Callithrix jacchus: one gene and its partners. The protein of the gene in region 3 purifies or fractionates together with the protein of the main gene of each other region. This does not show direct contact. Links are inferred from orthologs where the notes say so. Each region holds a gene or a part of one and is shown on either strand. Other genes may lie near its edges.

Region 1 (3,753 bases), on a different chromosome or scaffold from region 3:
GATCTGGGCTATTTAGAGTCATTTTTGTTTGGGTTATCCCTCTGCTGGGTATAGGCTACAAATACATCCATCTCACAGCACTCGCCATTTCAACAGCTCCTGCGTCATGGAACGTGGTACTTTTTAAAAATAGGCGACCCTTGGGTGTCATGGAAAGAAGAGGGAAAATGGGGGGATGGAGGGAGGGAGGAAGGGAGGAAGGAGAGAAGTGAAAGGAGAGGGTAGACTGAGGTTACAGTGTGGCTTCCAATACTCTGCGGTGTAATGTAGATACCCATGTTCAGCAAGCCTCCCATTCCCTACCCCACTGCCACCAGTCTGCCTGAATCTCCATTTACAAATCTGTTTCCCGGCTGGCATCCAGGCAGAGGGCATACAGGGACCTCCGCAAGTCCACGTTGCTCTTGGCCTTGACGTTACACTTCTCCAGGGGACAGCTGCCCCTTTGGGCGTTGTCTGCATTCTCCAGGGTCACCCCAGCCTTGCAGAAGGATCCCCTGCTCCCGCTGACCTTCCGCTGGACTCCTCTGTCCAGCCCCGGCCCCTGGCTCTGAATGCCCTGCTCTTCCTTAAGGACTGCCGGCTCCTCGTGGTCCGTCTCCCGGTGGTAGAAGTAGTTGAAGTTAGAGACGATGACGGGCACAGGTAGGGCGATGGTGAGGACCCCGGCGATGGCACACAGCGAGCCCACGATCTTGCCCCCCACAGTGATGGGCCTCATGTCCCCGTAGCCCACAGTGGTCATGGTGACCACTGCCCACCAGAAGGCATCAGGGATGCTGGAGAAGTGGGTCCCCTGGTTGTCAGCCTCCGCGAAGTAGACGGCACTGGAGAATAGGATGACCCCGATGAAGAGGAAGAAGATGAGCAGCCCCAGCTCCCTCATGGAGGCCTGCAAGGTCTTGCCCAAGATCTGCAGCCCCTTGGAGTGGCGGGAGAGCTTGAAGATGCGGAACACCCGGACCAGGCGGATGACTCTGAGGATGGCCAGGGACATGGCCTGCTGCCCATTCTGGCCGCCTCCTCCGCCCCCCGGCTGCTGCTCTGCCAGCTCGGTGCCCAGGGTGATGAAGTAGGGGAAGATGGCCACCACGTCGATGATGTTCATGATGTTCCGGGAGAACCCTGCCTTACTAGGGCAAGCGAAGAAGCGCACGAGCAGCTCGAAGGTGAACCAGATGACGCACGTGGTCTCCACGATGAAGAACGGGTCGGCCAGGGTCCTGGGCAGGAGTGGTGCCACTGTGGGGCCAGAGGGCTGACCCACAACCCCACTGCCGTTGGCCCCAGAGGCGGGCGCGGGAGGCTGGTGGGGCGCCGGTGGGTGGCGGAGCAGCTCGCGTTCATCCCTGAACTCGGGCAGGGTCTCCAAGCAGAAGGTGATGATGGAGATGAGGATGACCAAGACCGAGACGATGGCGATGGCCCGCGCGGACCCAGAGCTCTCCGGATACTCGAAGATAAGCCACACCTGGCGCTGGAACTCGTTGCGAGGCAGGGGCTTCTCCTCTTCTTTAATGAAGCCCTCATCCTCGCGGAAGCGCTCCATGGCCTCGTCCCCCAGCTGGTAGAAGCGGATCTCGTCCGCGAACACGTCCAGTGAGACGTTGACCGGCCTCCGCAGGCGGCCCCCCGACTGGTAGTAGTACAGGATGCCATCGAAGCTGGGCCGGTTGCGGTCGAAGAAGTACTCGTTCCTCAGGGGGTCGAAGTAGCGCAGGCGCTTGGCGGGGTCCCCCAGGAGGGTGTTGGGGAACTGCGCCAGGGTGCCCAGCTGCGTCTCGAAGCGCAGCCCGGAGATGTTGATGTGGACGCGCTGGTGGTGCAGAGCCGCAGCGCCCGGAGTCTGTTCCTCCTCCGCGCCCAGGCCGGGGTCGCCTTCTTCCTCTTCGTCCTCCGGAGGCGGCCGCCGAGGCTGTGGCGGCTCCTCGGGCAGCCGAGGCAACGGCCGCGCTCCCGGATCAGCGCCTCTCTGCGCGCCGCGTCCCCTTGGCGCCGGCTCCTTGGGCCCATCGCTGAGCCCAGCCGTCGGGGGACACTGGAGCTCTCCCCCTGTGGCCTGGCCGAAGCCTGCCCGGGCCTCATCGCCTCCTCTGACCGTCATGGCCCCGCCGTTCTCCAGGGGCACCAGGGCGATCTCCATGGCGCGGGGGCAGGGGGCATGCTGCGCCCCAGCTGACCGGCTCCCGCGCCCCCTACTCACGCTCCGCTGGCGCCTCGCTTCGGGCTCCGCTCTCGCGGTTGGCCGGCCCCCTCTCTGGGGCGAGCTGGGGTTGCTGGCGCGATCCCCTCGCTTGGTCCTGACGTCAAGAAGCCGCTGCCCTGCTCTCTGCCTCTCTCTCTCTTCTGGCAGCCGGTTACCAAGCAGCCGAAAAGCCTCCTTCCAGCAGATGCAACCTTCAGCCGCCCCTCTTTGGCTGCGCCGCGCTTGGCCTCCACCCTGGGCGCCTCCCCCGCCTCCTCCCCCGCCTCCCCCTCCTCCCGCTTCCCCTCCCCCCCGCCTCCCCCCCCCCCCCCCGCCCGCTTCCCCAGCCTGGTCTCGTGGCACCGAGTGTCTCCCGGGAGGGCGCAGCTGGGGCCCCTAGCAAGGGAAAGGAGGGGCCGAGAAGGGTGCAGCCCCGCGGAGGGAGGGAAGGAGTGGGGAGGATGGAGGAACAGGTTGTACCGAGAGCGCCGAAATTCCCAGGGCAACCAGATGAGAATAGCTCTGGATTTCAGTTTCACCTGGGAACCCGCTGGAAGCCGAGTGGACTCCAGAAGGAACGAAGTGCCTTGGGTTAAAAGGACAGGCTTTGAGCTGAGTCGGAGTACGAGAGACAGAGACGGGAGACAACAGTCCTTTTTACTCTGGAGAGATAACGGTGTTTCTTTGGGAAGAATTGCAGACGGGAGGGGGCGTGGAGTAGTTACGGACCTTGAAATACATATTATCAATGGAGAAGCACCTCTCTTCCCGTCTTCCTACAGATCCACAAAAAGGTATGACGGGGTTGGAACCTTGCAGCGTCCCCATACCCTGCCCTGTTTCTAGTATGGACCCAGTGGCAGCCCAGGCAGGCAGCCTAGTCAAGAGATGAGCTGTCTGGTCTCAAACCAGCAGAACCCTTCCACCCCCTGCAACGAATTCCATTTGCAAAAGCCACAACAGGGCAGGAGGGGAGAGATTTTTACAATTCTGGTGAGGGCCGATCCTGTCTGGTGAACCTTGGAGCTAGCAACTGCATCAAGGTCCATGAAGGGGGCTGAGGGTGGAGGTGGTGTATGAGAGGGAGCCAGGGAGATACTGCAATCTCCAAGGCTGGAGAATTCCCAAGAGTGGAATAATAACAACCAGTACTTACTTGGCTCTTATTATGCACCAGCCCGTTCTCAGCACTTTAAAATAATGTCTCTGGGTATTCCTACAGCAACCTATTTTGTAAATACTATCATCATCACCATTTTATAAACGAAGAAACTGAGGCACAAAGAAATTGACAGACTCACCCAGGCTCATGCGGGTAGAAAGTGATGACGCTGGAACTCAAATTCAGAGTTTGGCCCTCATCCCCTATACTTCATCCCTCTTCAGAAATGCATAATGCCCTTTTCTGATACAAGCCCTCCTCACTCTGACATCTGGCCTGAGAACTTTAGTTCCCTGCTGCAAGAGGCAGAGGGTGGCTGATATAACATACTCATCTTTCTAGGTTGGGACACTAAGGAACCTTCCCCTACCCTTGTCTTTACCTCTACAGGGGGTTTTAGCAGGCA
Region 2 (3,552 bases), on a different chromosome or scaffold from region 3:
CCCAATGGAATCTTGTCCAGAAACCAAAGAGCACTCCATACCAGCCTGAGGACTCATACAAGTCCCCCATAGCCCATGATCTTGCACCTGCCTTGGCAACTGGGGACTTGCGCAGGTTAGCCTTGAGGATGGCAACACGGGACTTCTCATCAGGAAGTGGGATATAGATGAGCTGATCAAGACGGCCAGGTCTGAGGATGGCAGGATCAATGATGTCAGGCCGGTTGGTAGCGCCAATTATGAACACATTCTTTTTTGTGGACATGCCATCCATTTCTGTCAGGATCTGGTTGATGACTCGGTCAGCAGCCCCACCACCATCTCCAATGTTACCTCCACGAGCCTTGGCAATCGAATCCAGCTCATCAAAGAATAGCACACAGGGGGCAGCTTGGCGGGCCTGTGGGAGGAACAGACTGAGTCAAGCTCTAACAAAACTAAATCTCTCTGGCCAAATGCAGTGGCTCATACATGCATTCCCAGCACTTTGGGAGGCCAAGGTGGGAAGATCACTTGAGGCCAGGAATTAAAAAACAGCCTGGGCAACATACCAAGACTTTACCTCTAAAAAAAAAAAAAAAATAGCCAGATGTGGTGATGCATGCCTGTAGTCCCAGCTACTTAGGAGGCTGAAGTAGGAGAATTGCTTAAGCCCAGGAGTTCAAGGTTACAAGTGAACTATGATTGCACCACTACCCTCCAGCCTGGGCAACAGAGCCAGATATTGTCTCAAGAGAAAAAACAAAACAAAACTAAACACTGGATCTCTCAGACCTCAGAAAGATTACTGTCCAGTTGAGTAGCCAGCACTGTTTCAACTCTCTTAAAGAAAAACAGTTCTTGCCCCCAGGCAAATGAATACAGAGTCCACCCTATTATAGCTCACCTTGTCAAAGATTTCTCTGACATTGGCCTCAGACTCCCCAAACCACATGGTGAGAAGCTCAGGACCCTTGATGGAAATGAAGTTGGCCTGGCATTCATTAGCAATGGCTTTGGCCAACAAAGTTTTCCCACAGCCAGGAGGTCCATAGAACAGAACTCCCTTGGAGGGTGTCATGCCAAACTTGAGGAATTTGTCTGGGTGCTCCACAGGATACTAGGACAAAAAGGAAAGAGGGTTCAAGGCTACCACCATATTTTGAAAGAAACCTAACCAAACGGAAGCTTCATGGTGTACCCAATGGTATCAGATCCAGGTTCTCTAAAAGCAGACTCCTTAATGCCTCAAACCTAAGAACAGTAGGTTCCTAAGTTGTGCTCTTACAACTCTTGCAGCCAATGTGTTGATACCCTGAGACCACCCACATCACTAAGGCAGTGACTCACCCTGGACCAAGTTACCCTACCTGGACCAGCTCCTGAAGCTCACGTTTGACATCCTCTAGGCCGCCGATGTCTTCCCAGGTTACCTGTGGCACCTCTACCACAGTTTCCCGCAGTGCTGATGGGTTACTCTGGCTCAAAGCCCACTAGAAAAGAAGGGAAAACTGGATGAGACTTACCAGGGAAGGGTCAAAGCACATTAGGTGTGTACCTGAGGTAGGGGTGTGGTCCTTACCCGGAAGTCATCCATAGTAACTGCTAGAGAGTTCATGACCTCGGCATCAATGGTCTCATCCTCTAGGTCAATGAGATCCATCTTCTTGCGGATGGCTTGCAGAGCAGCCTCTGAGCACAGGGCTGCTAAGTCAGCACCCACATGCCCATGAGTCTCATTGGCTACCTGTAGAGAAAGACCTACTTACTATGCTGCCTCCAGCTCCCACAGGAGGCTAAGAAACAACAGAAATCCTTCCCCCGACTCCTATCCCTGGGTCCTCTCATTTCGTTGAATATGTACTAGCAATGTCTTTATTGGCTGGGTTTTAAGTACTCAATTCGGGACTTGAGGCCTAGAAATAAAGCTGCCCCAGAAATTCTGATTTACTCTAAATGCAGTGTTAACTGAGAAACAAGTCAACTCCAATTTCCTGGATTCAATCTCAGATCACTTCCTTTCCCCTGTCCAGAAATCAAAATCCATCTCCTCACATCTTAACCTTATGTTCCAAGCCAGTTCCCAGCAACTGCCTAGAAACAGAGATATTGTAATGCCCAGTCAGCCCTCATCATCACTTTACCTGTTCCAGGTCCACATCATCTGCCAGCTTCATGTTCTTGGTATGGATCTGAAGAATTTCCAAGCGTCCTGTAGCATCAGGAATTCCAATATCTACCTCCCGGTCAAAACGACCTGTGGGACAGTACATGAACACAGACAGGGCTCATTTCTAGTCCAGAGGGAAGAGACAGGCCTAGCAGGACCAACCATCTCAGTTAGCATAGGATTGTCCTGATGTTAGCAGTGAAAAAGTCTCAAACCCTGGGAAACCTTTCAGTTTCAGGAAAACCAAGTGGTTGGTCAGTCTAGACAGGATGCAGGATAAGGGAAAAAGACCCCTGGACCTAATCACTGCAAAGGGCTTCAAGAGGATTAAGTGACTTAGATGAAGGAGAGAGGTGAGATGTAAGCAAGGGCAGGGTTGGATATATCTGGAGTGCTTACCAAATCGCCGTAGAGCTGGGTCAATGCTGTTGGGTCTGTTGGTTGCTGCCATGACAATAACATGTGCTCTCTGCTTTAGGCCATCCATGAGGGTCAACAACTGTGATACAATACGCCGCTCCACCTCGCCATGTGTCTGCCAGAACAGGATGTCTGGTCATAAGTGAAGTTAGAGCCTTTCAACCCCCCACTATCCCTTCAGGTAAGCTCCTACTTTCTCTCTTTTGGGAGCGATGGCATCCAGCTCATCAATGAAAATGATGGCAGGAGCATTCTTCTCAGCCTCCTCAAAGGCTTTACGAAGGTTGCTCTCAGACTCACCAGCCAATTTGCTCATGATCTCAGGACCTGAAAGAATACAGAATGGAGGCAAAAACAAAATTATAGCCTTTCCTAATTACCCAAAAAACAGTTATCTTGCTTGTCTGGCTCAGAGACAGGTCCTGGTGAGAAGGTGGTGACCTTTGCCTACTTCTCAGATCCTCTACCAACCATTATCACAGGATAGCCACCAGTCCAGGCTAGAGAGAAGCCCAGGGACTCAGTATACTCTTCTCACAGTTGAACTAGAAGTATAAAGGTGACAGCAAATGCTCTGGGACCTATGGCTAGAGCAGGAGAGATGGCACACCAGCTAGATCTCTACCAGCTAACAGTATTCTCCAAGAGCCAGCAATCCAAGTTCATTTCCCCGAAAATCTCTCATATCAATAAGCATTCACCCATTAATTTCTCATTCTAGCTTGCTCCCACTCTTCGGTCTGTCCACAATCTTTCTCAAAGGGGACAGGACAGGGAGCACCAATGTAAAGTATCTTCCCTTTATTCTTCATCTGTCTGTAACATACCCCAGGAGAAGAAATATACTATAAAAGTGCAGGTGGGCATGAATGCAAAAGGGATCGGTCCATGAGCTCTCCAGCTCATGAGTCCCCATTCAAAATTGGGTCTAGCTAGACCTAAGATGAACCAAGTCTCTTACCATTGATCAAAAAGAAGAATGC
Region 3 (2,680 bases):
ATCTATCTATCTATCTATCTATCTATCTATCTATCTATCTATCTATCTATCTCTAGCTCCATCTCTCTATTTCCATGGCCATCTCTATCTCTATCTTCATCTCTCTCTTTATCTCTATCCTATCTATCTGTCTATCTATCTCCATCTATCTCTTATTGGTTCAGTTTCTCTGGAGAACCCTAATACAGTCCTGAATGTCAACTTAGCAAAGCAACAAACATAAATTGGGACTGCAATATACCTTTTTAAAACCCAGTTAAGGCATAGCAAAGTTGAAGCCATTGCCCCCTGAATGCAAATTGTGTCATTTACCAAATGAAAGCATTAATATCCAAGCTTGCTGGGGGCTCAAATTAGATGAAATATAATAAAACATTGGGGAAATTGCTAAAACAAATCTTTGTTATTAATTATAACTTTTATCTGAAGTAACTTATGAATGTTGATGACCTTAGCAGAAATATCCTAAGTGACTTGGTAATAATTTTAAAGTGGGAGACTATTACCCCCCACAAACACACTACAAACATATACACATGCTCACTACATACAAACACATAGACACACACAGACACTGACATATAAACACCTGTTTTGGGGGAAAATAATAAAGCTGAATGTTTAACTGTTAAACATTTTTATTGTGCAGGCTTGTAACCTTTATAGGACATGCATGATAAAAAATTGTAAAATATATCAGTAAGCATATAAAATTTCAGCAATCTTTTGGACCAGCAATTGATTTGCCTGAGGGACTAAGCATCTATGTAGAACAGACATGTCTTGGAATACACAGGTTGCATATTGAATCACAAAGCCATTTCCTAAGTGATTTTCCTCATATAAAGATAAAAGTATCTTTACATTTAAAAAGTATGCTGTATAGCACATTTTCAGTTATATACATAGTTTAAAAGTAAAACTATGTCCATGCCAGTGTCTGCTTTAAATGCAAAAAGTCAAAGTAGGTAACAGGTTGGTAATCAAAGTGTCAAGAAAACTGGAAGAGGCAAAAATCAAGCGGAGTTCCAATAAGTGTACAAAAAAAAAAATAAAAGCATAACTGAAGGTTTCAGAAAAGTCCCTAAGGGCAGAATCACAATATGAGCAGGAGAAATAAAAAGCTTTTGGATATACCAGGCAGCATTCACTATGACTCAGGTTTACAGGTGAAATTCCTCAGTTTGAGTTCAGAAGAATTTGAACTTATTCCAGCAAAACTACTTCAATCTTTTTATTACTGCCTCCTCCCCCATCTTCTTTCTGGGCAAAGGGATGCTTGGATTAGATCCAAAGCTCCTGGCAGGGGGAGGGACCATGTGTCACAGCATAACAGACGGTTGCAAGTGCTTTACTGAGCAGGGGTCATGTTTGCAGCAACTCGACAGGCTCACACAATGGCCTCCGTTTTCCAGCCCCTCCCCAGAGGCCCACTGATCAGCTGAAAAGGGAATACAATGTTGAGCCACTAAACCACCCCAGTGATGGATTAGTTTGGATTCAGAAAAGCATGATTATTCTTGAAAATAAAGGAAGCTGAATAGACATGCTGACCTCATTCAGCTGATGACAGGCAGCGAAAGCTGGCTTCCACGCCTGCCAGCCCACAGAGGACTCAGCCCCATTGGTCCACTTTAATTCATTTCATCGGGCTACTGTCGACCATCTCTATGGATAAAGATGCCACATGATAAAGCCCAGATGCGAGCTTGACTGGACTCTAGCTCAGAGTCAGAAATGCTCATGGAAGACTAAGTCATAGGTATTCTAATTTTGGTCTTCAGGGAAGCTGCTGACCTAATGCATGTTGATGCATTAGACCCTATTTTAAAAAAATGTGAAAAACAGGAAGGCACTTAGGTCTTGTTATCTATATAACAAATATTCAGGCACAGAAAATATAGGTTAAAATTTCAAGAAGAGTAAGGCATTAGTTGGATCATGAGAAGGTAGAATATTATGTTTTCTAACTTGCAAGGATCACTGGATCCTACTGGATCATGAAAATGAATGCAGCAATCCACTAACTCCGTAATGGTGGGAAGAGAGTTTGCTGAAAATCTGCCCATATACTTGTACACTCACTGGCCATACCCTGGAATTCTTCCCTTACCATAAAATGACCAACATTTTAGAGTAGCAGTTGAGGTTGTTGGTTCTTTTTTTTCCCTCCTCAGTTCTCCATATTTCTCTCAAATTAACTTTCAACAATAGGTTCATATCTCAGCCAATAAAGTGATGGTTGATCCACACGCAAATAAAAAGGTAAAGAAAAAAATTTTAAAATTCAGACTGCCAAAAAATAGATGAAATAAATCAGAAGAGACATAATACTTATGAAAACTGAGAAAGTGATTTCTTTGTTCTCAACCAAGATAATTCATTCATAAATTGTTGCTGTATTAGAAACTTTAAACTTGAAATTGGCACCAGGAAAATTAAAAGGAAAAAAATCAGGTATACTTCTATACTTGAAATGTCATTTATATTTCTTTCTGCAAGCTGATGCGGACATTGCTGAATATTTTCCCAATAGCTTCGAAGAGTGGGTCACAGACGGTGTGGATGTAGATGGAATAGACACGGCTGATGCACTGAATCTCAATCAGGAAGCTCTTAATGCATGGGACAACTGCCCAGATGTGCAGGAAAGAGAGAATGGCAAAGTAAATACCCCAGA

Evidence for each region.
Region 1: the proteins of CAV1 (region 3) and KCNA5 purify together in Homo sapiens (affinity purification with western blotting, with the first as the bait; 3 studies listed by BioGRID). This does not show direct contact. The link is inferred for Callithrix jacchus from reciprocal best matches to the Homo sapiens genes CAV1 and KCNA5.
Region 2: the proteins of CAV1 (region 3) and VCP purify together in Homo sapiens (affinity purification with mass spectrometry; 5 studies listed by BioGRID and IntAct, with this or other methods). This does not show direct contact. The link is inferred for Callithrix jacchus from reciprocal best matches to the Homo sapiens genes CAV1 and VCP.

What each region holds. Positions count from the first base shown.
Region 1 is NC_133510.1:18,649,465-18,653,217, reverse strand, and holds the start of KCNA5 (potassium voltage-gated channel subfamily A member 5), read right to left. Parts: upstream 2,260-3,753; 5' UTR 2,144-2,259; coding exon 335-2,143; 3' UTR 1-334. UniProt on the Homo sapiens protein: Voltage-gated potassium channel that mediates transmembrane potassium transport in excitable membranes. Forms tetrameric potassium-selective channels through which potassium ions pass in accordance with their electrochemical gradient.
Region 2 is NC_133502.1:141,939,491-141,943,042, forward strand, and holds part of VCP (transitional endoplasmic reticulum ATPase), read right to left. Parts: coding exon 3,531-3,552; intron 2,897-3,530; coding exon 2,763-2,896; intron 2,685-2,762; coding exon 2,549-2,684; intron 2,237-2,548; coding exon 2,124-2,236; intron 1,727-2,123; coding exon 1,562-1,726; intron 1,473-1,561; coding exon 1,350-1,472; intron 1,100-1,349; coding exon 887-1,099; intron 401-886; coding exon 92-400; intron 1-91. UniProt on the Homo sapiens protein: Necessary for the fragmentation of Golgi stacks during mitosis and for their reassembly after mitosis. Involved in the formation of the transitional endoplasmic reticulum (tER).
Region 3 is NC_133512.1:87,138,914-87,141,593, reverse strand, and holds the end of CAV1 (caveolin-1), read right to left. Parts: coding exon 2,484-2,680; 3' UTR 621-2,483; downstream 1-620. UniProt on the Homo sapiens protein: May act as a scaffolding protein within caveolar membranes. Forms a stable heterooligomeric complex with CAV2 that targets to lipid rafts and drives caveolae formation. Mediates the recruitment of CAVIN proteins (CAVIN1/2/3/4) to the caveolae.